2 linked regions of the Drosophila melanogaster genome follow. The protein of the gene in region 1 purifies or fractionates together with the protein of each later gene. This does not show direct contact. Each region holds a gene or a part of one and is shown on either strand. Other genes may lie near its edges.

The links.
Region 2: the proteins of Mtpbeta (region 1) and Mtpalpha purify together in Drosophila melanogaster (affinity purification with mass spectrometry, with the first as the bait; one large-scale study listed by BioGRID). This does not show direct contact.

The regions. Positions count from the first base shown.
Region 1 is NT_033778.4:23,860,305-23,875,231, reverse strand, and holds Mtpbeta (mitochondrial trifunctional protein beta subunit), read left to right. Parts: upstream 1-6,628; 5' UTR 6,629-6,706; coding exon 6,707-6,770; intron 6,771-7,019; coding exon 7,020-7,179; intron 7,180-7,237; coding exon 7,238-7,412; intron 7,413-7,468; coding exon 7,469-8,479; 3' UTR 8,480-8,584; downstream 8,585-14,927. Other genes in the region: ken and barbie, read right to left, coding at 1-81, 138-307, 4,352-4,360; CG5569 (uncharacterized protein), read right to left, coding at 8,652-8,792, 8,847-9,045, 9,459-9,709; Cpes (ceramide phosphoethanolamine synthase), read left to right, coding at 10,884-12,062; TBPH (TAR DNA-binding protein-43 homolog), read left to right, coding at 13,786-14,026, 14,089-14,399, 14,457-14,661, 14,717-14,927.
Region 2 is NT_033779.5:9,562,588-9,578,734, forward strand, and holds Mtpalpha (mitochondrial trifunctional protein alpha subunit), read right to left. Parts: upstream 14,183-16,147; 5' UTR 14,007-14,182; coding exon 13,931-14,006; intron 13,794-13,930; exon of another isoform or gene 13,643-13,793; coding exon 12,915-13,642; intron 12,849-12,914; coding exon 12,708-12,848; intron 12,652-12,707; coding exon 11,882-12,651; intron 11,820-11,881; coding exon 11,183-11,819; 3' UTR 10,986-11,182; downstream 1-10,985. Other genes in the region: brwl (brickwall), read left to right, coding at 8,922-9,166, 9,255-9,307, 9,369-10,378.

The sequences.
Region 1 (14,927 bases):
AACTTAAAGTAGGTGGCATTCACGTCCGGAAAGTATACGGTGGTGGAGCAGTCGCTCAAGTGGGTGTCCTCCAGCAGGTTCCTACGGTACAAACGACGCATTATTTCAGTGCAGAGTATGTGTTTTATGTAGATTACCTTATCAACGGACTGGCGGCCGCCAGGACCAACTTGTGGGCGTGCAGCTTTACTTTGTTCTCGCAGACGATGGTCAGGTCCGCCGGGTGCTCCCCTCTGAAGGCTGCTCCGATTTCTTTGAGTATGCACTCGCCATGCTTGCTGTATTGCAACATCAACATTCTTTGAAACTGCAAGTGGAAGAGCAAGTATGTCGGGTATCGTTAGATTTCTGCTATTTCTTTGGCCCAGATCATGGGTGTCAAATTGCCATGAACTGCAGAACAAATTCTCTAGCTCTACTCAATTGTATTACTTGGAAAAACTTGCTCAAATTCTGAGGCGCAATCGCCGAAATAAAGTACTAATTTGTACGTATACGTAATATTCCATTTCCCAACACGCAATCTTGACCTAGGACAAGTAATATTATGAAAACGTTATCAGTAGCTGTTTGGTACAGGAATTCTGAAATTGTTTATGGTTCGATTGTTCTCTTGCGAAGAGCTTGATAGTACGAACTTAATCAACTCATTGAGGAGATTTCGAGCAATGAGCCTTTAGCTATTTTTCACAAAAACTAGAACCATTAGTGTCGTTTAGAAAGTGTGAAGTTACAGTTCCCAAAGTTAAGTAATTTCAAAAGATAATTGGCGATCAATGAGTTATGAGCCGCTGCTTAACGACCGACTTACGGAAGTTCGAGCTATAGAAGTTAAACTGCAAGACTACTTTATGAAGTTATTAACGAATGTATGTGGAGCATGTGGTAAAAGTGGGGCCAGTGAAATAGAAAGTTGTGGAATGGGAAGTCTGCATCTTTTTGCTTTGGTATTACACAATCCGCCTTTCACCGCCTGTGTCGCCCTCTCTTTCTCCCTCTGTGCCCCCTCTCTCTACCACTTTCCAGCGATTGTGTCATGCACGCACACAGGCGCACAGTGCGCGTTGTTAGAAAAAGGATCGTGTAAAGAGATTGGAAAGTGCTTTCCATAACGGTTTAGTGCGACACATTACTGGAATTTCAGCATGTGATCGTGAGTGTGTGTGTGTGCTGGCATTAACAAACTTCCCATAAAGCAATAGTAAATGTTTACTAATCAGGTTTTTAGGTTTTTCTGTACTTGGTGTTTTTGTAATACTGCAACCCACAATCGTCATACATGTGTGTGTGTGTGTGTGTGCTTTGTTGGAAAAGATGAAAGCTTCACTTCATAGAGCTCCACCGTGTTGTTGTTTGTGGTAATGGTGTTGCCTCCAAAAAAGCTTTCCCGCTGTGATGTGCTGTTGTTGTTGTTGCTGTTTCTTTTATGCGATGAAATTGTTACACTGAAATTCGCTGGCCTGTGCAATTGTGTCGTTGTGCACAGGCAGAAAAATGTGGCATCATGCCATGCTATTATGTATAATAATAACATGCAGGTGAATGTGCCATTCAAATTTGGATGGATCATTTACATGTGGATGAAAATGGTAGGCTTAATACATCAAATTCAGCTTTTGTAAGGTTGAAGAGCTGTTAAGTAAACTACTTTCTAGCCAAAAAAAAAGATGCAAATAATAGAAGTCGTTTGAAAATAATGTAAAATGTGTAACATCGAGCTGCCCTTTCTTTCTGTGTAGTTGACTGTATCTGTGTAAGGTCTGTCGCGTTTGCGTGGAAGTGTAGTGCAGCGGGGCTTTTGTAAGTGTGTGCGTTTGCTGGGGGGCCACCATTATTGTATTGTGCAAGAGCATGGCTTGTAAGCTCTTTTCGGCTGCGCGAGTGTGAGTGAGTGTCTGCATGGCACCACGAAAAGTAATAAACCAAAAAGCGAAGCTAAAGTTCAGCAGCAGCAGCAGATCTCGAAAACGGAAAAAACGAAAAACTTCGGAAAGATAGTCTTGCTTTTTGTTACGCTCTGCTGCTTCTCCCCACCAATCCCCGCTCCAGCCCCCTGGCTCCACCACTCCTTTAGCATGGAGACGAACGAAACGTTCACTTTCAATAAAACTTGAATGACTGGCTTGGCGGAGAGCAAGAGAATGGAAATGGGAATGTTGTATTTGGCTTGGGAATGGCAAGCGAAAGCTGAGCATGGATCTTTTATTTTTCGCTTTTTGCACTGCCACTGAAGAGAGGGCGGGGGAGAGCAGGGGCAGGAAAGGGGGGATCTGGTGTGCTCATTCTAACGCTAGATAAATTCCAAAGCGGTATTGACGGAACATACATATGTATATATGCATGTATCTATGAGTGTGTGTGCTTGTATACTTAATGCTTCCACGAATCAGGGCCATTCACTTTCTACAAGTTTCTCGGCGGATTTCGCAATCGAATCTGAATTTGCTTACGAGCAGAGCATGACTAAAGATCGTTACAGCATTTAAGGCAATCAAAAGGTGAAAGTTCATGGTAATAATTCCTTAAATGGAAGACGCTAGGGATCCGTACGTATGTATGTGTTTGTGTATTTCCCAACATTTCTCCGCTCTCTTCGCGAGACTCACACATTCGCACGCACACTTTTGCAAACTGGAAATGAGAATGAAAGGGACAAGGCGGACATGGAGGAGGGTCGAGGGGAGGGCGATACGAAAACAAAACGCGCTAACTCACAATGCGCGCATAAAATCACCTTTCACAAAAAGCTTTTCTCCTCTCTATGCTGTGTATGTGTGTCTGTATGTCCAACGATCGGGGTATAAGCTAAACAACGAAACACACATAGCGACATACAGACGGAGAACGCAATCGTTTGTATATTTCCACACTTTCCGATTTTTGTCGTCGTCATCGTTCCCATGTAATGTAAATGTAGTTTTACAATTACTCTTTCCCCTGCGCATTGTGGTGTCGGTGTATGGGTTTGTTGGTGTGTGAGTGTGCAGATTGCGTGAGTGTTTACGAATGTAAAGCACATGTGTCTATTTCCAAGTGGAAGAGAATGGCAAGGGAACGGAAGCGGGAGCGGGGGGTGAAGAGGGAAGGGGGAACTGGAAATCGAAATGGAACTGGAATCGCACGGATCTTATCCGATCGAAGGCCTCAAAAGAGAAAGCTACGCGGGGTTTTGAAAGTATTATAAGCTCGCGCAAAGGTAAAATGTTAAAGGGAGCGGAGCGCGCGTTCAAACTCGTTTTCCTGCCCTCTCTGTCTCTGTCGCTCCATCGCATCGCATTCTCTTCCTTTCCCGCTCTCTCCCGCGCTGCCACTGCCCCTTTCCCCATTCCCCTTTCACGAAAGCTCTTTGACTTGCTGATCCGAAAAGAAGCGAGGGAAAATGGCAAAGAGTCGCCGTCGCCGTCGTTGTCTTCTTTCGTACTTGTTGTAAATGCTACACTCGTAAAAGTGACCCAAATTTGAATTGCATAACTCCATAAGCTGGGCGATACGGAGAAAGATAGGAAAGGGGCCCGTGAGGGGTTTGCAATGCGCTAGTTTCGTAGACGCCGTCAACGGATCTACGTTTTAAAATATGTATTTGCCAGATAAGGCGAACAGAACGGGGAAATCAAAGATCTCCTCACAATAGCCTTTCCAAGTTCCCCCACCCCCTCCCACGACCCGTTAAACTAAAATCCCCCTCACGCTGAGAAACCCACGCCCGTGGCTTTGCTAACAGCATATTTTGTAACATCTGCGCGATCGTGTAACCGCATGCATGTGTGTGTGTGATTGAGTGTCTGTGCTTTTTCACCTTCACTCTTATTGGAAAGCAGTTAAGTTGGTCGAGTGCGTGCGCCAATGTACGTACATATGTACGCAGATATGTGTCTTCAAATTCCATGACATGCATACGAGCGCACCAATACACGGACGGTATTACGCAGACAAAAGCACGCGATGAAGGTCACTAAGCCTTTCTTGTCTCCAGTTGTTGTTGTTCCTCTGGGTTCAGTTGTTGTTGCAGTGCTAATGATGTTCATGACGACGAAGATTGGATCGCCACGAACCGAAGCTTCGAGGCAAAGTTTTGGATACGATACCATACGATACGATGCGATGCGATCCAAACCGAGCTTGGAATGTTTTCAGTTTTCTGCTTTTCTGTTTTCTGTTTTCTCTACCACTATTAAGTTAGTTTCTGACCTTGGCTGCTTTGTGTGCTTAGGTGCACAAAGAGCCACAAGCCACACACACGTATCGCAGACCCAAAACCCCAACCCCGACTTTTATCTATCTCAGCGATGTTGCAATGCCCAAAGATGATGAAAATCTCGGGGAAAAGCTTGCTGCCGAACGGCAGACTTACCTCTTTCATTAAGTTGGATGTTCAGCAGTTGGTTAATCCCAGGATGAATATAGTCACTGCTATTCACTTGCGCACTTTCTGTTCTGATCGCCTAATCCCTGCGATCGGCCATTTACTGCTGGCTGCTTGCTTAGTGGAAACTTTCGATTTCATTGACCATGGTTTGTTTATATTTTCACAGGAGCAGATTTTAAAATTTCTCTTTGGCTTTTCCTGCTGCCTCTTCTGCTTTTTATGCGACGCAACGCAAGAAATATCCACCAACACACTGGTAACGCTCGCACAAGCACACACACACTCACTAAAGTTCACTACAACGGCACAACTACAACTACAACGTCAACATTAACTTTAACTAGGTTGAAGTTTTGTTTTTTCTTTTTGTTTTATTGCGAAATAAAAAACTTGATTGGTAAAACTTTTTCTGGCGCGAGCGCGACTGCGAGTGGGAGCGGTACGGAGAATCCGATCTCTTGCCTCTCTCTCGATTTTCGATTTCAGCTTCTGCTTTTGCTTTTGCCTTGCTTTGCTTCGCTCTGTTTGTGCTTACACTTTCAGTTTGCGCGCGCGCACGTCCGTTCACTCGGAGCCTTTTTTTTTGACTGTGCGGGATCGGGAAAGAAATTACGATCGCTGCGGCGCGCTGCTCGGTCGATGTATCGATACCGATATCGATAACAGAAAAGCATTCTCTAAGTCTCCTAAGCTACCTTGTAATTTATTATTTATGTTCCAATCATGATTTAGTTTAATATTAGCTAAAATGTAAAAAGACACAATCAATAAAAATACCATTTATATTATCGATAAAAACAGCAATAAGATCTGTATTGGCTTTTTAGATTTCCATTTGGCGTATCTTTCGTTATTTCACAAGATTAAGATTCACGTCCAACATGAAGAACTTAACTGTAACAAGCTTACGCTTTTGGGCTGACCTTATAGAGGCTCGCGATTTTGACGATTCAGACCCAACGTCGCGTAGACAAATGGCGCTGATGATCAAGAAGTTAGCGGAGAACATTTTAAAATCCGCGCCCACAGTACCAACACCACCATCCCCATCCAGCCCATCGCCGAACGAAAGCAATATTTGAGTGAAGCTCCATTGCCACTGACGTGTCCTGGTCCTGGTTCTGATGACTTCCTACTGGTGGCGTCACCTCCACAGCCCACCGACCAGCAACAACAACAATAACGGTTCCTTACAGTGATCCAGCGATCACGGAGATCATTTCACCTGTTAATATACTTTGTTCACCCACTGTAACTGTCTCTCGCGGAGGCGGAGCTTTGGACATTTCCCGACAAAATGTGAGCTTTCGATTATGTTCTACAACTGAAATAAAAAACTTGTTTAAACTTAAATAAAAAATATATAAATAAAAAGGGTAGAAAATCTCAATGCTCAATTTGCATCTGTACAAACGTAGACATTAATTTTACTGGCATGCTAAAGAAATTTCACCTTGATCCCCAATAAGCCGTCATCCTTCCATTATTTGCTTCCTTTGTAAGTCCTTTACGATCGCTCATTTGAAATGCACACGCCGCCTACATTTGCATCCTACCCTTTGCTATCCCATTATAGGAAACCATTAAATTCGTCCTTGAACCTAATTTGTGCCGTTAGCAATAAAAGCAATCAGTGAAACGAATTTGTATGCAAATCATTGAGAAACTAACAATGGTTCCAAAACGACCTGCATTTTATTCATAATCTATTTAAAGTTTAAATTTAGAAATTTGGATGTACATCTAATATGTAAGATTATACAGTACTGCAAGAGTGGCCTTTGGAAGTAATCCTTTCTTTCGCCCATTTGCATACAGCTAGTTGCCTGCTACAGTTATCACTTGCATTGCGGTTCAAGGACATGGTTAATGGTCTTCCATTGTGGGAAAGGGTATACAGACTGTAGGTGACGAATGAGAGCGCAGATGGACATCGTAAACAGCACGCTTAATAGGATAATCAAGATCAAGGTCATTGGAGAAATCTATTCCTTTATGGGACTCCCAGATTGCGTTGCATACATTTGAATGAAGGTGAATGGTGTAGGAATAGTAAACGATTCTCAGAAGCTAAAAAATTTAGAACTGTATATTCAAATATAACCAAGAAATATATCTAAAGTTGGAAATGAAGATCTACCGAATTTTACAAGCTGTCATGCTTTATGATCTACGAGTAAGATCCTCAGAAAGGGTATTTACAGTTCGAAAGCTTTTCATGCATCAGCTTTCGATAACCGATAGTTCGCCGCGATCCGGCGTTCATGTTCATCACTAGCCAAACAGCTGCAGTCGCAACAACGAGAAAAGCGAGAAAAGAAATCAGAAAACTTTCGCAAGATGAGCCTTCAAAATGTCTGCCGCAAGGGTAACGCCTTCAACCTGTTGAATGTCGCCAGGAAAGGTGAGTTAATAGTGCGGGTGTTGCAGTATGCCCCATTCCAAACACGGGCTGCACCAGTTGGACTTTGGCTCTGATAATTCATAACGATTTGTGGCAGCAGCAGCCGATTGAATCTGAAAGGGCCAAAGTCCAAACTCGAATTCGCAGTGACGTCTTGCGGGACAAAGATAATGTATGGGTACATCATGATTAAAAATAACGCGAAACGAGAGTGCTAAGGATAATCCCGAATCCGGAACCCTTTTTCAGTTCAATGCCGCGCTCTATCGGCCGCTGTGGCGAATCCACAACCGAAGCAGAAGAACAGCCAGAATATCGTGCTCGTGGATGGAGTCCGCACACCCTTTCTGACCTCCGGAACCACCTACTCCAAGCTGATGCCCCATGAACTGGCCAGGCACTCGCTTTTGTAGGTTTACAATCCCCAATATCCTTGGAGTATTAGCTTACCCCGCCCCATTCAACAGGTCATTGCTGCAAAAGAACCGCCTGGACAAGGAGCTCATCGACTACATCGTGTACGGCAGCGTCATCCAGGAGGTGAAGACCTCCAACATTGCCAGGGAGGCAGCCTTGGCAGCTGGATTCAGCAACAAGACACCTGCCCACACCGTCACCATGGCCTGCATCAGTTCCAATGCGGTAAGAGCCTCGCCCAAAGTTCCTCGGAGCTTGAATCTATAGCCCATGTATTACAGGCCATCACCACGGGCATGGGTCTGATAGCCACCAACACCTACGATGTCATCGTTGCCGGCGGCGTGGAGTTCATGTCCGATGTGCCCATTCGCCACTCCCGCAAGATGCGCTCCCTGCTCCTGAAAGCCAACAAGGCAAAGACCCTGGGCCAGCGGCTGGCCCTGCTGTCCACCTTCAGGCCAGACTTCCTGGCCCCCGAGCTGCCCGCCGTTGCGGAGTTCTCCTCCGGCGAGACCATGGGACACTCGGCCGATCGCTTGGCATCCGCCTTCAACGTATCCCGGAGCGAGCAGGACGAGTACGCCCTGCGATCCCACACACTGGCCAAGGAGGCCCAGGAGAAGGGCTACTTCACCGATCTGGTTCCCTTCAAGGTGTCCGGCGTGGACCAGATCGTGGACAAGGACAACGGCATCCGCGTGTCTAGTCCCGAGAGCCTGGCAAAGCTGAGGCCCGCCTTTGTGAAGCCCTACGGCACTGTGACAGCAGCCAACGCCTCCTTCCTCACGGACGGAGCTTCTGCTTGCATTATCATGACCGAGGAGAAGGCCAAGCAGCTGGGCCTCAAGCCCAAGGCCTATCTGCGCGACTTCCTGTTCGTGTCGCAGGATCCCGTCAACCAGCTGCTGCTGGGACCCGCCTACGGAATTCCCAAGCTGCTCAAGAAGGCTGGACTCACGCTGAAGGACATTGACTCGTGGGAGATCCACGAGGCGTTCGCCGGACAGATCGTGGCCAATCTGAAGGCCCTGGACTCCGACTGGTTCTGCAAGACTTACTTGGGCCTGAACGAGAAGGTCGGCACTCCCGACCTGTCCAAGTGGAACAACTGGGGCGGTTCTCTGTCCATCGGCCACCCCTTCGCCGCCACAGGAGTCCGCCTCTGCATGCACACCGCCAACCGCCTGGTGCGCGAGGATGGCAAGTTGGGCGTGGTCGCCGCCTGCGCGGCCGGTGGACAGGGCGTGGCTATGCTCATTGAGCGCTATCCGGGCGCCACAGCCGACTGAAATCGCCAATTAATCGACAAGGAGGAGAGTGCAGTTTAACTGCGAGATTGCTAGCTTTTATACACCTTACAACTACGTCTATACGAATAAAGAAATCTGAATTTTACAAAACAGTTTAATTTCTAACAGAGCACCAGCCTTTCAAACAATCATTAGATGTGTCTAACTAATCCTATTCGGTCTCGTAGAGCTCCTTCTTCCGCAGCTTCGCTTGCAGAATGTCGTTCTCGTTGTAGGACAGGTGCAGCGGGGGTATCAGGGCGCAGGCCACCATTCGGTTCTCGGCATTCAGGAAGTTGAAGGTGGCACATGCCTGCAAAGAGTGCCATTCAATATGGATATAGATCGGGGAGTGATTAATACCTACCTGCTCCGTGCGCAGGATCTCTACGTTTATCTTGTACTTCTTCATGAACTCGATGATCCTCTTGGAAAGAGCTGGGGGCGGTGCTTGGTCGCCAATGCCAATGATAAGCACGTCGATCTTTGGCTCCAGGGTGGGGAAGAGACTGAGGCTGTCCTCGTTGATGTCCTCAAAGCTGTTGACGTTCCAGGACAGAACCGATCTGTAAGTAGTAAAACATAAAATTAAACTTTAGCTTCAGATAGTAACTTATGACATATTAATACTTATAAACAATATCACTATTAAAAGCCATCGAAAGCTTATAACTTAAACAAATAGAGGCTATAAGGTAAGAAGTTATTGAAATAATTAAAATTTAAATTAGCATTCAAAAAGCCTTTAACAACTATTGGTAGTTTTTACATCAACATTTTTTTGTATGAAACTTTAAATGAAGAAGTCATTCTCTTTGACTTTTCCCAATAAATCCTTGACTTCTGTTTAATAAACTCAAAGGCGTGCATAACTAAGCTTGGGATTGGGATTGTATGATCATCAGAGTGCCATGGCATAAATCACATGCACTTGTTTACATAATTGGGTGAGCCAATGCATCCGTCGAAGGCCACCTACCTGGGAAACACGGAGATGGGGCCAATGAGGACCATGTCGTTGTTGAGCCGGAAGCCGTACTGGCTGTAGCCGGTGACCATAAGGCCCAGATCCGTTTCGGTGTTGAAGATGGTGACTTTGGTCTTCCCGTCGTGGTCGTAGGCCTTGCTGAAGTTGGCCGGAATAGCGTGAAGTGGGCGACAGGCGGTGATGCGCGGTAGCAGAAGGTTGCGACCTTGCCGGCCCACCGTTCGCAGGGTGCGCGCAATCATGGTCTTGTGTTAGAAAAGTAATTAATGGCTATTACAACAATTTAAAACTATCAAAATAGACTGAAGTTGAAAAGTTTAACCGGTTAGAGTGACCGGAGGTGCCCAAAGCGCGCGGGCCGAATGTTATCGATAGCGCTGGATTCCTCGCTGGTGCACGATATTTTGCGCGACGCTGGCCACACTGGTCGGCCATTAATTTACGAAATTTACGAACAATTAACATAAACTTTTACATTTATCCGTGTGTTTTAGCAATAACTATCTATCTATGTGCTATTGTTGACTACGTCTAAGTGCCACAGTGTCTGCAGGCTGCAACTCCAACAAGTTGCTCGCATTACCCCATCGCAGTAATAAATACTGCAATGTTTTGATACAGTCTATATTCGTTTTCAATGATTCAGCAAGGCGGTGAGTGCCAATTCCCCCAACGCAATGGCCGCAGCTATCACCCATATCACCTATATCACTTCGATCGCCAATTCCAGCCCATAAATGGTTCCATTACCATATGCCCACTTATCAGGGAGCACCCCTCCACCAACACACGCACGCCCAATGAGTGTGTGTGTGTGTGCTGTGTGTGTGATGGATTGCTGCGTGCACGCACACTCCTGCAGCCAATTAGAAGCCCCGTTAATCGGCATTGGCAGTTAAAAGGTTACTAATAGCGCCTATAATTCCCAGTGCCTCGCCAAAAGCTTCCGCAAATACCTGCAGATAGTGGAACAGATAGTGCGCTGCTTCGGCTGGGCGGGCTGAGGTGGGGTGTGTGTGTGTATGTGTGGGTGCCCAAGTGGGCTGATTTAGTCATCCAGTACCAGTAACTGACCATATTGCTCTATTCTCCCCGCCTCTTTCGTCACTGCGGTCGCTCCCCAAAGTGTCAAAAATTCCTTCGATAAGAACGCATTGCCAGTGGTTAGTTGTTAGCTTTCACTCTTTGATAGCTGAGCATTATTATGATCGCATATACGATTTCAGAATTTCAGAAGGGGATTTCAAAACCCTGCATGTTGCTTGCCAAACTTTTTATGCCGTGCGCGGCTTATCTTGACAACTACTTCGCTTCGATAAACCATATTGATCAGCTTCACTTCTTTCCGCCCCACAGCTGCGCCCTGAAATCAGCCCGATAAGAACTTAGTGTTAAGCGCTACCTCAAAGTGTCACCATGATCGGACCCAGTTCGCAGATCAGCAAGATCCTGCTCACCCTGCTGTTCCTGCTGATCATCTTCTACGTTTTCATGGACGTGGAGCTCTACCTGCGCATCCACAACTATGCCATCGAGAGGAACTATCACACGAATGTCTCGCTGCCCGCCTCCGTCGTGGGTCCGTCCACCTCGGAGTCCGGGTCCGGCAGCATCGGTGGTAGCAGCAGCAGCAGCAGCAGCAGTAGCAGCAGCACCAGTACGAAACTACCCACCGCCGGCGACCGGCAGCCGTCCTACGAGGACCACACCTGGATATCCTGTGATATAAATCCGCTTTGCCATGTGACCGTGAAGGCCATTCTGTTGGACCACACCAACCACTACCTGTTCGCCCCGCTGGCCACCATGTTCGACAACGTGATCGGCTTCTCGCGCTCCACCTTCATCACGCCCAACATGATATCGTTTTTCCATGTGGGCGTGGCCTGTCTGGCGGGCAAACTGGTGGCCTCGGACAGCCTGGGCTATCGGCGGCTGGGCGTGCTGCTCTTCCAGATCCGCACCTTCCTGGACGACCTGGACGGGCATGTGGCGCGCGTGCGCAAGCACATACGCGGCGAGCGCTCGGAGATCGGCACCTCCGGCTACTATGTGGACGGCCTGTGCGACGGACTCGGCTGCATTGCGCTGCTGCTGGGCATATTCTTTTACCTGAAGAACAATCCACCGCGGAGGGGCTACTCGATCATACCCATGAGCGACTCCAAGCTGCCGGAGCCCACCATGATGATACCGAAGATGAAGGCCACCACGCGCAAGGTGGCCAAGAACGTGATCAGCTTCACGGGCCAGCTGCTGCTGAGCTCGACGGCGTGGAATCGCTACATTGCCGTCTACCAGAACATGCTGGAGCGCGAGGACGTGAGCGGCAACCAGTCGCATTGCCAGGATTACGTGTTCAAGTCGACCTGGTTCTTCTGCGTCGCCTGGATGTGGCGCATCGTCAACGTGCACGCCCTGCTGCACTGCGTCCTGCTGAGCATCTTCTGCGACAAGCTGTGGGACTTCCTGCGCGCGATCCGGTACAGCGGTTACATTATCCTGTTAGTTGCTATATGTTTAACTGAAATGCACATTCTGGAGGCCCAGAACTACATTTTCAACTCTACGGCGTGCAGTAATATTTCACTGTGATTTTACTAATATTACGAGAAAATACAATAATATTTGTGTAGTGCAAATCAGCGATGCCTTTTTTAATTGTGTATAAATAATAATGTATCATAATTGTTAGCCAATCATTAATATTTCGAAACCAACTAATGCATTTTGTCATTCAAGCGCGGTCTGCAAGAGCAATCGAAACTCCTTCAGCTGTAAATAATAAATGTTATTGATTAATAAAGTCTAGCTGTTTTTATCGTACGCATTTCCATGGCGAGCTAATTTCGTTTGAATTTATTTATAATGTTTTGTGTTTCGAAATTTCAAATGAACACGATGCGCAATGCTGCCAAGTTTTTTTTTGGTATAGCTGATGGGCAGCACTGCAAGGTTTGGTATTTTATTCGACAGTACCAAATGCCAATATAATTGCCATATTGTAATGTAATATATTGCTTAGATATTCATAGTGGCAATCAACGCTCATATAGTTTAATAAAGAGGCTATTAAAATTTATGTGACAATGCACTGTTTTAACTAAAAATAATACACTTTTAGTATATCTACCCGCCGGCTGGTATTTCTCACTAGCCCTGTTCGGCCACACTGCGCATACGTCAGGCGATACATACAAAGGAAAAGAAAATCAAAACGGAAAGCGAGAAGAAATGCTTCACTCGTCGTTTGAAAATTTGTTAAGCTGTCAATTGTAAATATTACCTGATTCCTATTTCGCACCGATTGAAAGTGGTTGTGCATCGAAGCGTGTGTTGTGTCAAGAACCGAGCGTGGAACGTACAGTGAATACCTGATTTTGCCTGGGTGTGAATCGAATTCGTGTGAGAGAGCGTGCGATCTGAGATCTGGGATCAGAAATCTATATCTACTTGCCATACGCAGTCAGAAATTACAGCAACCAACTAATCCCTGTCAATAGTGTAAGAATTGTTGTGTAACCAACCATCTTTTAGGACCGCCAAACTGCCTCCGTCTACACATTATGTCCTCCCCTCGACGATTGCGTTTGTGTGCGTGTGTGTGTGTGCCACACACTTGCACTCACACACAGACGACAGGATTGGATATTTTCAATTTATGTGGCTTTCATTCATTGATTTTCCAATTCCTGCCGCGATTCCACACTCACAAACGTCAGTTTACTCGTATTAAGTGGGTGAAATATCTGTTTTCTTGAGTAGTTCAAAACATATACATATGTATGCCATACATCGTAAACTTGGGATTGGGTATTCTTCTTTTGTTTATTAACTAAATGTACGTAGAATAGGCATTTAGCCGATGGTGGGACATAAGTAGCGTCTGATTCAGAGAATTTTTAACTAATAATAACGTAAAGAAACGCCTAAACATGAACACTAATAATATATGAATATGTTTGTAATACTTACTAAAATTATATCATCGAAATTACAAGAGATAGAAACATTGTTTATTTGTCGTTTTTAGTAGATTGACCTAGTGTAGGATCCTTTTTGTTTTGGCTTGGTCCCACGAGCAATGTGTGTATAGAGTGGTTCGGGGCAACCTTTTTGTGTTGAATATTGTACCTTGGGATGCATCTGAATAGAACGGATGAACTGAGTGAGTGCATTCATGAATGCAGCGATGCAGAATATGTGGGATGCTTCCGTTGACTGAATGACATGGTGGATCATTTCTAGAGCGAAGTGTGAGCCCCTGCGGCGATAGAGTTCTTTAATCCCCTCCTCGTTTCTAGCAGCCTTCTAGGAAATGGATTTCGTTCAAGTGTCGGAGGAGGAGGGCGACGAGCCCATCGAGCTGCCGGCTGAGGAGGATGGCACTCTGCTTCTGTCCACACTGCAAGCTCAGTTCCCTGGATCCTGCGGTCTGAAGTACCGCAACCTGGACACGAAGGCTGTGCGCGGAGTTCGCTCCAACGAGGGCAGACTGTTTCCGCCCAGCGTGGAGTCCGGCTGGGGCGAGTACGCTTACTTTTGCGTCTTTCCCAAGGGTAAATTCGAGTTGTATGACTCCCTGTTGAACCTTAAATAATTCTGTAATCCCCCCCTGCAGAGAACAAGCGCAAGAGCGACGATAACTTGGAGAACTCAACTGCCAAGACCAAACGCATCGAGACCCGTCTGCGCTGCACTGATCTCATCGTGCTCGGCTTGCCGTGGAAGACCACAGAGGAGAGCTTGCGTGAGTACTTCGAGACCTACGGCGAGGTGCTGATGGCCCAGATCAAGAAGGACACCAAGTCGGGCCAGTCCAAGGGCTTCGGTTTCGTGCGCTTCGGCTCTTACGATGCCCAGATGCGCGTGCTCACCAATCGCCATCTGATCGACGGTCGCTGGTGCGAGGTTAAGGTGCCCAACTCGAAGGTAAGTCCTCTTGTTAGCCCTGCAATTTCACGCCTACTAATCCTTCTATTCTCATAGGGCATGGGCCACCAGGTGCCTTGCAAGGTGTTCGTGGGCCGCTGCACCGAGGACATTAACTCGGACGACTTGCGCGAGTATTTCTCCAAGTTTGGCGAAGTCACTGATGTGTTCATTCCCCGGCCCTTCAGGGCCTTTAGCTTTGTAACCTTCCTTGATCCCGACGTGGCACAGTCCCTGTGCGGAGAGGATCACATTATCAAGGGTGAGTCACTGCCGCGTGGAGAAGAATCAGGGAATTAATGAGACACTTTCCACAGGCGTTTCGGTCCATGTGTCGAATGCTGCTCCAAAGGCCGAGCAGAACAGAAACCAACAGGTCCAGAGCTACAACTACAACTCTGCCAACAGCTTTGGCATGCACTCATACCACCCACAGGGTAACCACATGAATCCGGGCCGCAACGGACACCACCGAGGTAATAACCAACACAATGCTCACGGCGGTGAGAACGCAATTGTGCCCAATAA
Region 2 (16,147 bases), on another chromosome or scaffold:
AAAGGATTGAGAAGCAACACACATGCACCTAACACACTCATACACGACTATGCACTTACACTTACGCAAATGGCAGTTATGAGGGGGAGTGGTTGGGTGGTTGACATAATAAGAATAACGAGAACAACGAGCGACAGCAACTTGAGGCTGCTTGAAGTCAACCAACACTCTTACGCAGGGAAATTGCCCGACGCACTCACACTGAGATACATCTACACCATCGGGCGAAACAATAGTGCCCGCCGACTATTGTCTATGAAAATTTGAATATGAATTATAGTAAGGTGAATCCGATTGGTGGTACAAGGCACTCAACTAAAAGCTATCATTAGTTTACACCTTGTTATGATTGTTATACTTAATTGATTCTGAGTTCTTTGCATTTGGTTACGAAAAGTTTGAATTCCTAATTTATTATCCTCAAGTGCGGATAGGGCAGTGGCCATCCTAAACCCCGGTGCTTCTGGATGTCCGCGATAAGCCAAAAAGTCGGGGGAGACAACAGCAATCGACATCAGCACCGACGTTAGGTGTTTATGGGATGTAGCAGCCCCTAATACCGGCATGTATTTATGCCTGTGGGTGGGAGTGAAGGCCGAAGGATTACAACACCAACTAGGCATAACAATAACACTAAAACTCGAAGGCAAGGACCGCACTCGTGGATGCTGCCAGTTAGGCCAACCATTTGGCACAGATACGCGAACTCACAGATTTTTCCTCTAGTCGAGAATTTGGAATTTAAAATCCGAAATCCGGAGTAGGTTCGGCATCCTGCTGCGTGGCGACACCGATTGGTAAGTTCACAAGGGGCCACAGGATGTGCAATGAGTGGCTGAAACTTGTTTAACCAGCAGCGGCAACGGAAATTAGGTTGCTCCTGGGAGCTGTTACATAAAGTCCATGTGTGGATGAGTGTGCGTGTGTCTGACAGCAGACATAAATCTTGGCAAATATGCAAGTTGTGCCGCCCAGAATGAGCAACTAGGCCCAGCGGGGGAGGACACACGAGCCACCGAGTGGCAGGACGAGTCCAGGAGACGGGATATGCAACAGGAGCAGTCCAGCCACCGGAGAAACAATTCCCCCAGTCCGCCTCTTTTCTACGTTGTGGGTCTGTTCCCCCGACAGGCTATTTGCATTGGCTTCTTTCTGCTGCCGTGTAGAAGATACATTTCGACCCAACGCGACACACTGCAAAAAATATCGAGCATTTAAAAATGCGGAAAAATTATACTTTTAAACAATTTTTGAAAAATCTTTAAAGTTTCAGTTCCATCTTAATGTGGCTTTAAAAATTCCTTTTATTGCGTCTGTTGTGAACTTTGTGAACTAACAAATCTGACCCAGTGGCCAACAGGATGGGAAATCCGAAAAAAAATCAGGACTCACCCAGAAAGCAGAGCAAACAAGAAAGCCGCAAAAACAGCAAAATGCAACCAGACAACCCGTGGGCACATACTCGATTTAAAATTTCCTGCGCAGCAAATGTGCAAGGACACCAGAAGGAGGAGCTGCTAGGAGCCAGAAGAAGGTTGATGAAATGACAAACAGGAGACGCGCTTGGCGGCGATGGCGAACTAGGCAAAGAGCACACGGGATATCCGTTTCCGCCCGACAAGTGCCCCGCCCACTGCCCACACATTCCAAAACCAAAAGGTCGCACACAAAGTTGCAATGAAGCGCAGTTCTAGTTAGCTTCCGGTATCCCCAAACCGACCCCCCCCCCATTTCCACACCTCCTTTTCCTACCGATACATTTCAGAACGCAAGCAACAACACCAACATAAAGGACACATTCAAGTTTGTTGGCCGCATGCAAAATTCAAATTGACATAAACACCGAGACGAGCGCTTGATTGTGCGGCTTGTGTGACTGTTGCTGGCTATAAAAAGTGTGCACCACTCATCCAACCGCTGGCCCGCTCGCCATCACCCATACGCCGTGTGGTACCAGTACCAGCAGTAACAACACGGCAAATGGCAAATACAGTGAAGCTTCACACTGAGTGTACACTTTAAAGCTTTTATGCTAAATAAATATAAATAAATATCCCATTGAAGAAGTGCTGAGAACTAGAAGATTTAATGACCTCTATAAAAATTTGAATTGATAATTAAAAAACTAATTAATATATCATATTTGACCAGGAAGATCAGAAAATAAATAGCATGTGTAGTTAAATTACAATACAAAATAGGCTCAGACATTTGAAATAGGTGCAGCTGAAGCCATGGAAGCTCTACTGTAGTTGCGAGGATGGAGAAGGCAAACACCCATGCCACACGACTCCCATTCCCCAAAGTATCCGAGTGTGTGACGCAGAACGCAAGGTGACTGAAGTTTGTTATTTCGATTTCGCAGCCAGGCGATCGGGATGCGGCGGTTTTGGGGGATATTATTCTATCTACTCACAGATCCTCGGCGTTCCGCCCGGCAGCACTCAGTCGCATTCACTTTGCACCAGTGCCCTGCAATTGTCTCCGCGATTATTTCGATGCTATTTATAGAGCCCAGTACCGTGTACCAGCAATTATCTGTGCAGTTATTTATCTATCCGTGGGCCAGCTACTTGTGGATTCTTTGTTGCTCGCACGGCTTCTGATTAATAAATCGCTCAGGTATTACTCATTCGCTGTTAATTTAAAAATTCGTTTGTTCGATTATTGTTTACAGTTAGCATTGGGTTAGGGCCCCCGACCTCAGCGTTTCGTGTGTTATTTTATATATTTTTTGGGGGTTTTCCCTTTTCGGCGGAGAGGTTAATTTCTTCTATTCTATTCTAGTTTGTTTTTCTCGCGCGCGCGTTTGCGTTCGTTTCGTTTGAGTTGTTGGTTCGTTTCACACTGAGCTAGGGAAATCATTGAAATTTCTGCTCAGGCGAGAAATGAAAATGTTTTTCGGCGGAGCAGCCAAAAAACAAAAAAAAAAAGCGGCAAGAAACCGCTCTCTGCTGCATTTTTTGGGGCGGGATTTTTCTCGGGGAGGTGAGAGAGTATGATGGCACCGCCGGTGGTCAGCGGGAAAGAGCTTTTCCGGCGCCCCCGCTACTTTTCCACAGCCCCCGGAGGTCGCACCTCAAAGTTGCCAGACTGCCGACGTGGCGTATGCGTAATGCGGGTTTTCCACTCTAGAACGTTAATTGTTTTTTTGTTCCTTTTGGGTTTTCGCCCAGTGGCTTATTGTTTGGCCAGCCTTAATTGCCGACGAGTCTCTGGGGTCCTGGCAGCCAAATAAAATTACGACTTGTGTGCGCTTAACTACTAGATGATCCCTGGTTAAGTTTCCACTTTATCGCATTACACGACTTTCGAGTTAGGTCGCGGCAAAAACTTGACTCCTGCCGATTCTTGGTAAAAGTTTAGTGCAGCTTCCGCGGAATTCGCTCAATTACAGCTGCCAGCGGGCTGTTTAAAAGTTTCTTACGAAAAAACCCCCACCGAAAATCGCTGGGTCGTCATGTTTAACCTTCAGTGGCAGCGTATTGGACCTTGAATCATAAGTTAATTAGAGTCGGAAGCGGGCAGTGAAAGGCAGCCATGGACATGGATACGGATACGGATGTGGCATGTGGGTGGGCAACCGAAAGCCTCGTTCAAGGACTCGCACACACTCGCATCCTTGCGCTCGTATCTGTGTGTGTTTATGTGGCATCTACAGGTAGCCGCAGCAACGACTCCCACAATTCCTCGAGAGCCTGGTTCGCTTTTGTTTCGATTTTCTAACGAAATCGAAACTCTACACTCTGAGAAAAACAATAGGAAGCGAGCGGGAGAGAGAGAGAGAGCGACAGAGCGCGAAAATGGAGGGGGGTTTTTCACTGAAAAGAGAAAGAGTCACATACTGCGCTTCGGAAAATGCATTCTTCATCCCAGTGCAAAGGAGACTGCATCCTTGATGCCGCTGCAAATTGTCAGACAAAGTGTTCTTCGAGTCAAAACTTTCCGCTTACTCAACTCCGCACTCGTTCTCCGCACTTTTCAAAACTTTCCAGCACTCGTTTTGCGTAAATAATTCATGTCGAATATATTTTTAAGCGCACACAGATGGTCACCAACACTAGCGGGGCAGTCGCGTAACCAAAACAATGACACTCGACAGCCGATGGACCGCTTTTCCGGGAGCCCGTTGCGACCAAGGACGAGCACTCGCCTCGACTGTCCTATGGCAACTGAGCTCCGCTGCACTTGGAAGCTCTCTCCTTGCTCCTTGCTTCGCCACCCGCCCCCATTTTCGGCCCTTTTCCATTTCCCATTACCCACCCGGTGACCAAGTTTTCCTCGGGCCGCGTTCGGCTCGGTAACCGATTGCTCGTCCTTGCTGTGGCATGTAGGCCACAACAGAAACGAGCCTCCTTTTTATTGAATTTTTGAGCACACGCAGGACAAGACATCCTGCCCGCCGAGAAAAGCTTTTCCAAGCGGTCGGAAAGGGGTGAAAAGCTGGGCTGGCTGGCAGGTCCGTATGCTAGCGGTAAATTGCAGGGCAACAAAGTTGTAAACAAATCGTTAAAGTGCTGGAAATAACTGGGTTGGTGGTCTGCTGTCAGGCGGAATACATAAACCCTGACAGTTTTGGCCTAAGGAGTGAGTCCTTTTGAGCTTTGTCGAGCTTTTCGCGTGTGAATAACAATATGAGTGTTTGGATAATGACATATCAAATGACCGTTGGAGGGAAACGTAAGAGCTTAAGTAATCATTTCTTATTTTTTATTAACAATATTGTTTAAATATTTTGTTTGCTCGGAAGTCATTTAGTCAAGAGTAAATTGTGCATTCTAACGAAACTGAAACAGGTATATTTATCTATTTATATTTAAATATGCATAAATGCTTATTTTATTTCTGAAGTAAATTAAAAAAAATAGCTGTTCAAATCTATACCGGAAGTAGCATGCGCCACCTAGCGAGTAGCCCACGAAGCTTGTTCAAATGTCCGAAAAGCTCGCCTAATAAATTTGAAATGTAAACAAATGTTGTTGGAAAGCTTGTTGGCAACTCGGGCGGCAGCAACAACTACACAAAAGCAGCGATGTTAGCGGCAGAGAAATTGCAAAGCTTTGTGAGCAACAACAACATGATTTTTGTTTGCTCGCTTTGTTGTTGGTTCTGAGAGCGACAGCTGTTGTAGTGTCCGTGAGAGCGCAGTTTATGTTTGTGTGCGGTGCTGAGTAAGCAACTGTTGTTGTTTCAATGTTCCCTGAGAGTTAGAGCAAAGAAGAAGAAGAAGCGCACAATGGAATTATGATCACTGGAAATTCGCAGGTAAGTTTTCAGGTAAACTATTTGGGTTCCTGTGTTTTATTTTTTTTGTCAGAGTTACAGCGTAAAAAATGTGTATTTTCTATTTGCGACTGTCACCTGTTCACTAACATATTTTGGGGAAAACCAATTATACATGTTAATGGACGTGGAAATAAATAGAAACATTACCATTAGACAGTAATAATAAGCCTGAAGTTATATTCAACATAACAATCAACATACATATGTAAAAATTGTATTGCCCAACAAAAAGATCTTGAACATGATATATCTTTTGAAAATCCATTTGAATCAATCGATTTCGATCAGGATTACCTAGTAGTCCGCTGATCCTTTGAGAGATCCTTTCGGGGTGGGTGACTAGCCTCTAACGACAGGCAACACTCTTGATGCAGTGCAACTATTTTTGTTGGCCTGTGTCCCTTTCCTACCCTCCACAACCGACAACCAACTCATTGTATCTGTATCTTTGCATTTCGTACCGCGCAGTTGCCGTTTCTCCGACTCGAAAACACTCGTCATTCGTGTGCGTGTGCATTGTTTGTCTTATTTGTTGTTCGTTGCCAGCAACAACAATAAAAAGTTCCCTGCTGTTGAGCAGCCAGCTGTGTGTGTTTGTATTGGCGCATTGGTGTGTGTCCGTGTTAGTATCTGTGTGTGTGCGGCGGAGAGTGTGCGTTGTTCTCTGTTTGCTCGCCGTCCACTCGTGTCATGTTGTTGCTGTTGCTTCAGTGTTCTACGTAGCCGATAGATACTGGTTGATACACTGAGGGAATACGTGTTTAATTGGTACTTGTTTGAACCTCATAACTATTAAATTAATACCGCTTACATGGATCATTAATAAAGTCTGCAAATAATTTTATATTTTTCCCTTTAATTAAGTTTGGGGCTAATAATACATTACCAATTTAAAACATCTTTATATTACATTTCACAATTGCCAAGTGACAACTCTATTTCTCTCAGTGCACCGCTCGCTCTCGCAGGGCAGCAGTCGCATTTGTGGCTGTGTCTGTGTGTTTTTCTCTGTGTGCTTAGTCGCCTTGGTCGCTTGGTACGCGAAACATACGACATTGCCAACAATCCAACAGTCCGCCGCCGATTCCCGAGCGCCGTGCACCGTCGACTCGACCGCGAGTTTTCGAATTCAACATTTTTGAACGTTACGTCAGTCGTCGGTCGCTGCAGCAGCAGCAGCAACAAAAATATTTTTGGCGCCGTTTTATTTGTGTGCCGTGCATCGTGTCGTTTTGAAATCGCTGCGAGCAAGGAGTTGTTGCGTTTTGAAATCGCCTCTGCAACAGGAGTTTTTCTGTAATCCAACGACGAATACCAACCAAAAGGTAATGAATTCTTTGCTTGGAACAACATCACAAGTTAGGAACAACAGCAACAATAACAGCCTGATAAGCAGCAGAAAGAAAAATTCTATATGCCATATTGTTTCCTTGTGTGCGATTGCCTGTGAATGTGTGTGTGTATTGTGTGTATTGTTGTTGTTGTTGTTGTCTATCTAACAAAGTTATTGCGATTGTTGTTGTTGCTGTCATTGGGCCACGGAATATACAATATACTGTATGTATTTTTGTTGGTGGAGGGAAACAAAGAGCGGGCCGGGTATTTCTGCAAGTTTTCTGTGTTTTGTTAGCTTTAGAAATAAATTCTTTTTTTTTGTTGTTGTTTTTGTTTTCCGTTGGGTTTTGTGTTTGGCTGTTGCTGATTCTGTGTTTTTCGATTTGTACGTTGCTGTACTTTTTGCTGAGCCCCGTTGTTAATAGATAAACATGAACATTTCTCAAGGAATTAGTACGCGCTCATGCTGATATGTTTATGTTAAATAGACGTAATACAATAAATATTGCCATATAGCCCAGGTTAGTTGTTTTTCTGCCCCTTCCAGTCGCCATTCCCATTCCATTCCATTTTCCCCCCGCCCACACCGCACACAGCAATCCAACAATAACATTAACAAAAACAACAACGGGCAGAGCCAAAACACGCGAGCAACGTTCGCCTTGATAATGATGTTCGCTGATAATAATGATGACTGGCCAAAGAACACAACAATGCTGCCAGCGCACAGTGGGACCAAAGTGTTACGAAAATGGAAAGCAATATTAATTTTTTGTTTGGTTCAGCTTAGAGTGCTAGAGTTTTCTCTTGCTACTTTTTTATGTCCGAAAAAATAGAAAACTTATTGGACTCTGAACCTGATATTAAGATTAATAGTTGAAGGGAATTATTACCTACGATTTTCCAGAGATTTACTTACAGATGTCCAAAAAATATATATATACATATAAAATACCATCTAATAGGTTTCCAAGCAATGTGGAAATTGTTATTATATTTTTCCTTGATATACTTTTGGTAATGCCCTTTTTCGATTACTTCCATCCCACTGTGCGCACGTTTTTCGCTTTGCAAAACTGGTGGGCCCAAAAGGTGCTGAAAGTGGCGGGAAAACTGTCGGAGATTTAAGAGCGGCCCAAGTGTCGCCGCGATAGAAAGGGGCTGACGGCAAAAGGGTAGGCAGTCGAGTGAATGGACAGGTGGAGTGGGCTGATTAGAATCGAAACAGGTAGTCGCAGGTGCGAGAGCGAATCGTTTGCAAGTAGTGAGCAGTGAGTGCGGTGGGTACTCGCACACATATTCGTGACTATTCAGCGGATTTGGTTTTGGCCAACATGTTTTCGGATATTGCAACACAACATTGCTTGCTGCACTGAATTGCTGCTGCTGCAGCAGAGTGTTGCTGTTGTTGCTGAAGCATTCTGTTGTTGTTGTTACTGTTGTTTTGTTGCTGCTGCTTTAGTTGTGCTGTTGTTGCTGTTATCAGTGAAGCAGACAAAAGCTTTCAGCTTTCGACGCCAGCAGCAACAGCAACAGAAACAAACGGCAACAAAAACACAAACAAGCAGCACAAACAGCCAGATTGCCTGTTATTTTTATGGCCGCTGCCATTGTCGCTGCTGTGGCTATAATAATATGAAAAGTAAACAAAGTTGCTGGCTGTCGTCGTTTCGCCGCCGAGTTGTCAACATCAACGCAACGCAATGCTTTCCTATCCTATCCAGCTAGCCAAACTGTACTGAATATAATGGCAACTACAGCTACAACTACAACTACAACGACAACAACGGCCACGGCTACAACAATGTTTTATTAAGTTTCACGAAATATATATGAGCGAAAAGCTCTATGCCTCGTTTGCTGAGACAGCAGCAACAGACAGCGGAACAGAACTGAACAGAACACAACTGAACCGAACTGAACAGAAACCAACACACAAACAAATAACACGACAAAACGAAAAGAAACCGAACACAAAACCCCAGCAGAAAAGGCAAAAAAGCTGAAAAAGAGTCGTTGAGAATTCTGTTTGTTTGCCAGCTCAAAAATAAATAGGATTGTATATAAATACATATGTATGTATGGTACATACATACATCGATAGGAAAGTCTAAAAATCAAATATTGGAGTGGCTAACTTAACTTGAAGTTGCCATTTCTTGAGATCATAACGTGCAACATGACAGCAAACCCGTTCAAACCCCTGGTAATCGCTGTTTATTTTAACATTTCTCTAAATAGACTTCAAATTTAAAACGTATCTTTTAGTGGCTCTGTGAGGGACGATACCGCCAACGAATATGACCACCTCAACCCGCAGCAGCAGCAACAACCACAGCAGCGAGCACGAGGAGCGAACCTCCAACGGCACCACCGCCTACAACCACCACAGTCCAACGGGTTCGGGATCCGGAACAGCAGGCGCCTCTATTGGATCCACCAACCGAGTGATGCAGGCGGACGAGGACTTCAACATCCGCTTCGTCAACCTGGTGCGCACCCACAAGTGTCTCTACGACAAGAAGGTGCCCGAGTACCGCAACAGGTGAGTGGCGAGTCCATCGGCTGCCAGAAGATACGATCCAGATCGTTCCGTACGTTCAGTCTTAACTAATTTAAATAACTTTTTACAGGGATAATCAGGAAAAGGCTTGGGTGCTTATTTCAAAGGAGACAAGAGAAAGCGGTAAGCAATAATAGGAAAAACATTAATCCCTTAAATTAATCAGAACTTTCATAATCTTTAGTGATCCATTGCAAGGAGCGATGGCGAAACCTTCGGGCCTGCCTATCCCGCTACATAAAGCAGCAATCCGGATCGGAGCCGCAGCACAAGCCATACTACCTGACCGAGCACATGGCGTTCCTGCTGCCCTTCCTGAAGTCCAGCCGTAACTCTTTGGAGGGGAACAACAGTCTGGCCACTCTGTACCAGATGTCCCAGCAGCATTTGCAGCATCAACCATTTCTCCTGCATCCAGCACTCCATGCGACCGAGGAGCACAAGTACTGCGCCAACACTAGCATCAATAATAATAATAATAACAACGACGTCCATAATGGTGAGAGTATGGAGGTCTTGGAGATGAAGTACTCGATATCGGAGAAGGACGATGAGGAGACCATCGACGCCTTTGATCCCGCGGTTACCAACACCCTGGGTATGAATCGTACTTCGTCCACGCCCACTCGCAGTTCTGCCCTTCAAGGAGGCGGAGGCAATTCACCGGCCAGAAGCGATACCGCTAGTGCGGATAGCATGAAAAACTTCATTCCAGATGTGCAGCTGGCCGAGACGGGCTCGCAACTCATCTACAGCGATGGTGGACATGGCACACCACCGCCTCTGCACTACCATCCGCACTCGCATCCACATCCTTTGACATTGTCCATGGATCATCACCCAGCATCCTACGAACCGGGGAGCACGAAAAGAATCAAGACGGAATGCGAGGCCACCAGCACGATGACGAATGCAGGAAGTATTTACGGCGGACTGAGTTCGTCGGAAGTGGCGGACATGGAGTTCTTCCGCAGCATTCTCCCAGATCTGGCGACTCTCACTCCACAGCAACGTCGCAAGTTCAAGATTGGCATTCTGGAGCTAATTGACGACGTTGTAACCCGATATCCCGCCCAGGATCACAGCAACGGAGGAGGCGTATCTGGCGTAGTCAACGGAAGTGGCGGTAGCAGCAATGGGGGATCTGTTAAGCATCAAAGGCGCAGCTCTGGACGCGATTGGAGGAAACAATAAAGGAATAGAAAGTGTATCGGAAAGTCACTAATCCTTAACTAGGGATAGGATAAGTTTAGTTAGAAGCTTAAGGGGGATCTGAAGCTGGAATGGGTACTAATTCGAATCTGAGCTACTTCAGTCCGCTCACTGTTAATGTGTTGTGTCTACTCAATAAGATGGGTATGTTTTCAAAGGCCTTCAATTCTTTCAAGTCCGCGAATTGTTTCGATTTTGACCAACCATTATGAATGGTCCATTTACAAAGAGCTGCAAGAACTTGCATGACCAAATATATACATATATATATGAACAACTAATATATACATTTAAAGCTATTCCGAAATCGAACACATTCAACGAACAAGAAGTAATGAGGTCTCCTTATAAGCCATTTAGTTCTGACGTAGCAGTTAAGGAATTGTGAAAATAGATTTCAAGATTTTAGAAAATGGCTGCTTCGAAAATATGTTAGTTTAAGGACACTGTATATACGCTGCTATTGAAACCTAAACTATAGAATCTGTGTACAAATGAATTTCCGTTTGAGTAAACAAAGAGGGATAAAGAGATAGATCGATATCAAACTGCTGTGTGTAATAATAAACAAATGAAAGTATGGAAAATTACACGGTAAACTTTAATTTAATTGTCGACAACTTCAACAGAGGGCTTTTTATTGGGCCTTGCCCCATTTTTTAGGCAGCGATGGACCACAATAGGTTTCCTTTCTGAGAGAAATGCACAAGGACACGACTTATCTTCGCACTAAAAGCTAAATTTCGTTAGCGGCTCTACGGAGGCTGGGATCGGATTGGATCGGATCTACAACTTCGAGGAGCCAGTCTTGGGGTAGAACTTCTTCGACGGGTCCTTAGCCATGTCGAGCAGGGTCTGAGCGGGCTTGAAGGGAGCTCCGTACAGCTCAGCATAGGATTGCATCTTGCTGACCAGTTTGCCGGCTCCATACTGATCGACCCAGCGGAAGGGACCACCGGAGAATGGCGGGAAGCCCAGGCCGAACACGGCTCCGACATCGCCCTCCAGCGGACTGTCCAGAATCTTCTCCTCCAGACAGAGCACGGCTTCGTTGATGAAGCGGGATACCATACGCAGCGTCAGATCCTCGGGGGCATTGGCTCCCTTTGAGACTAAAGCGTACTTTTGTTTCACGATTTCGAGAGCATCGTTGTTCACTGGACGAGTGCCCCTCTTCTGGCCATCGTACAGGAAGATACCCTTGCCGGACTTGCGTCCGAGGAAACCAGCCAGGACCAGATCATTCATTACTTCCAAGTTTCCACCGCTGAAACGTTCGCCGAATGCCTTTGCCAAGTCGACGGCAATGTGGGAACCCACGTCAATGCCAACCTCATCCGCAAGGGTCGCAGCACCCACGGGGAAGCCAAACTTCTTCGTGTATTGGTCCAGATCCTTGGGGTCCACGCCTTCCTGCAGCAGTCTGACATAAAATATGGGAGTATAATAAACAATTTCACTAGTCATCTTAAAATGCAAACCTACCTGATGGCTTCCGACAGCATGGTGGAGAGGATGCGGGTGGTATAGAAGCCAGGTCCGTCACCAACAGTGATAACGACCTTGCCTTGCTTGAGACCGACGGCCACGGCCTGTGCGATGGTGTCCTTGGAGGTTCCTGGGTGAGTGATGATTTCCAGCAGCTGCATCTTGTCCACGGGCGAGAAGTAGTGCATGCCAACAACCTTCTCGGGACGCGAGCTTCCAGCAGCAATCTTGGTGATGGGAATGGCGCTGGTGTTGGTGGCAATGACGCAGTGCTCTGGAACCACTGCTTCCAGCTCCTTGATCACTCGATGCTTAACCTTGATGTCCTCGAAAACAGCTTCGATGATGATGTCTGCGTTCTTGAAGTCGCTGTAATCAAGAGTGGGCCGCAGACTGGCAAGAGTCTGATCGCGCTCCAGTGCAGAGATTCGCTTGCGCTTCACAGCCGTCTCCAAACCCTTCTGCACTTGTCCAATACCACGAGCCAGGCCGGCTTCGGTGGCATCCTTCATCACCACCTGATATCCCTTATCGACGGAGACCTGTACAATACCGGCGCCCATCAGACCAGCTCCCAGCACACCCACAGTCTTAACCGGACGCTCTGGCTTGCCAAATCGGTTCTTCTTGCACTCCGTTTGTCCACGGAACAGGGCAATCAAACCCTTCGACTCGGGCGTGGCCGATAGCTCGCCGAAGCCCTTGCGCTCCGCCTCGTAACCGGCATCGGTTCCCTTATCCACGCCAGCACGGATCACATCGAGAATCTGTTTGAAGTTATAGGTTACTTACAAATATGAGAATTGCTTGTTCAATATCGAACCTTCAGAGGAGCGGGATAGAGACCGTTCGAGGCCTTGAGCACCTGTTTCCTGGCAGTGTCGAAAATCTTGTTCTTCACAAAGTCGGTGTCCATGACGAAGGACTGGATCTTGCTGACGAGACCGCTTTTCTCGCGATTTACCTGTGTGGATACGGTGGAAAACAAATTAATGATGAAGACTTTAAGGGATTAACTAGTATTTCTTACGCGAAGTTTACCACTAGCCAGATCGTTGGCGACCTGCACGGCGGTCTTCTCCAGGTACTCGATAGTGTTTTGCTCAGCAGGCTGGAGTCCAGGACCTAGGGGATCCACCAACAGATCCACGATGCCCAGTCGTTTGGCGCGATCGGCGCGCACCTGTTTGCCTGTCAGCTCCATATCCAGAGCCGTGGGCACGGATGTAAGCTTGGGCAGGCGGACGGTGCCACCGCCGCCGGGCAGGAGACCCAGCATGACCTCGGGCAGACCCAGTTTGGTCTTGCTGTCCTTGGTGGCAATGCGGTAATGGCAGGCAAGGGCGAGTTCCAGACCACCACCCAGACAGACTCCGCTGATGGCGGCCACAATGGGCTTCTTGCTGCGCTCCATGCGATCGAACATCACCTGGGCGCCGTGGGAGATCAGCGTGGCCTCCTCCGCCGTCTGGCATGCTTCCAGCATCCCGATGTCGGCTCCGGCCACAAAGCAGCCCGGTTTGCCCGAGATCAGCACGGCGGAATTGACGGCAGGATTCGTCTCCAGGTCCTTAATCACTCGCTCGAACTCATCGCTCACTTCGGAGCCCAGGGAATTCACCTTGGCATTGGGTGAGTCGATCTTGATCACAAGCACTCCATTGACCACCTTGGTGTGGAGATGCTTGTTGGCAACCGGTGCGGGATTCGTGGACATTAGGCGGCGCCTCTGGAGAAGCTGGGCCGAAATGGGCAGGGCTGCGTGGGGTTAAGAGATTGTTGTTTGCGATTAGTGCACATTATCTCACGGCACTCGAAATCGGAAATCAGAAAGCGAGAGACAGAAGCTATACGTCAAGGGAGAGTACAAAGTTCAAAGTCCAGTTATGCGGCATCGGGGGAGATTCAGCTAACACGGGAACGGGAGAGAGACAGAGATACCGCTAGAGTACTGCCCATTTCCAAGGGGCCAAATTCCAATGTAGAAGAATTATGGCCTGCAATTTGCACTTTCCCTTTTCATAGCAGAACTTCTAATTAACCCACCTCTGGTGCACTTATTCTGCAGCAATTGCTGTCGCGAAATTTGGCCAACGGCACTCAAAAACCTCGTTGCCGACATTGCTCTCAGTTCGATCTTATAAGATAGTCACTTTTTGCTTACGATAACTATTTGTTTTAATTTTTAACGAACTTTGATCATGCACCGTTAGTTATGTGTTCGCGATTCGCTATAAAAAACTATGCGGCAATTTCTACTTGTTGCACATCCCCAGTGTGACCGCGTTCGTACCAATAAAATATACTACCATAAGTATTTTCTAAATTTTAGCACTAGCCTAAATACCGCACACAGTACAAACTCATCCACCAGGTGTCGCTAGTGTCGTTTTTTTTTTAACTAGGTGGCGCAGGAGATCATAACTAGTGTTACTATTGTAGCAACTTTTAATTTTAAAGTATAAAAGAAAAGTACAAAAAAGAAAAATGAAGAAATGTATATATATATGGGCATTCTATTATGTTTTACGCATAAAACATAATTTCGTACTTGTTTTAGACTGCAAGTAATTTTTAGTTTAAGCGATTTCTGTAGATCACCTTTTTATTGTTATCTTTCATTTTTTTAAGAGAACACAAAATTATAAATCGTATATAATACCAGAGTTTTACAATAACTCGACCCGGTTTACAATACAATATTTCAACGACATTGTTTTTGGGAATCTGTCACGCTGACCCACCCCACAACTCGAGGTCGAACCATTAACAGGCCGCACAATTTGCGGGACACGCATGTCACTCGCATTTTTCAGGTCGCTTCCTCGGATCTCCGAGTTCGAGTCCAGGACTCATTGAAGCCACATTAAGCGCGCCTCATTTGATGCGATGCCATTGTCCTTTCAAGTGGCCACTGCTAAATAGGTTCGGATGAGATTTCGCCAGGCGCTTTATTGTGGCAACACGCCTTTGTGGCCTTTGACGCAGGCGTTTCATGTGGCGTGTACTATAAAGTAAATAGTTAATCGTTTTTCCCCGAAGCTGCAGCTGCGGTCTTGATTTCTCCGCTGATCCGTCTATGATGTGTGAAGAGTCAAAAAAGTCACACTTGAGTTCGTCGGTTTATGTCAACTGCAAAAGTCCGTCAGTCAAATGCTGGTAGATGGCTGCATAAGTGACCTGACCTTTTCCAATCAGCGGGCTTATCAAATGGATAACAATTGGCAGAAGAACCATTATCCACAAAGCTACAATAATGTATTTTACAAATTTTGCAAATTTTAAACTGATTTTAAATAAATAAATGTAATACTACATAGGATAATTATATTTTGAATATAACCATATATGGCATCTAACCATAAATTGAGACCTCTATTTGAGTTTCATTAGTTTGCGAAAATCTGCATTAACAAATTGCCACCGTATAGCATTTGCATTCGAAATTAGTCTCTGGAATTGCAAATGTGAATTTGCGAAACCTCAGATTAGATATCCTATATTCGCGCACTTATTCACGCGAATATTGAATTACACCGGCAACAATGGGATCAGCATCAGTTAATTTGCATAATACCTTTGCGATCTCCGATTCCTCCCCTCGGCACCCAAGGATAACACCAAATGAGCAGCAAAGCCAGCGACTCCACAGAGTTCTCATTTGCATGCGAGTGAGGGTTCGGGCTAAGGGCTAATCAAACAGCAAGGACAAATATTGTTGCAGGATGCGACAGGAAGCACACGGTCGGTTGTGATTTATGGCTGGAAATTAACATAAATGAAATCAAAACATTTTAAATGTTTTCATTTGGGCAAGGGTTCGGCGCAGCCGCACTCGAATTATGTATGCAAATATCCTTTGAAACAAAGTCATTCCTCATTTCTCATTTCTCCTGCAGCTTGGCGAGTGTGCGAATATCCTTGAAGGTCGCACGCGTCAGCGGCACACTTTCCATCCAACATGACAACTAATGGGCGTTTTGTTTATGGTCGATATCAAACCCCCATTAGGGTCGAGTACTCTTTGCCCGTAGTGACTACTTGCAACCCCTTCCCTCGGGCGACCGTTTTTTTTTTTTTTTTATACTTTTAATTATTTATAATCGGCTTGAAAAAAGATCAGAAACAATAACCAAATTTTTGAGTGGCCTCTGACAGGGGGTAAACCGTTTAATCGACCCCGAATTTAATTGCCGTTGAAAATGGAATTTAAAATTTTGTTTACCTCTTTTGGTAATGAAAATATTGTATATATGTGTAGTA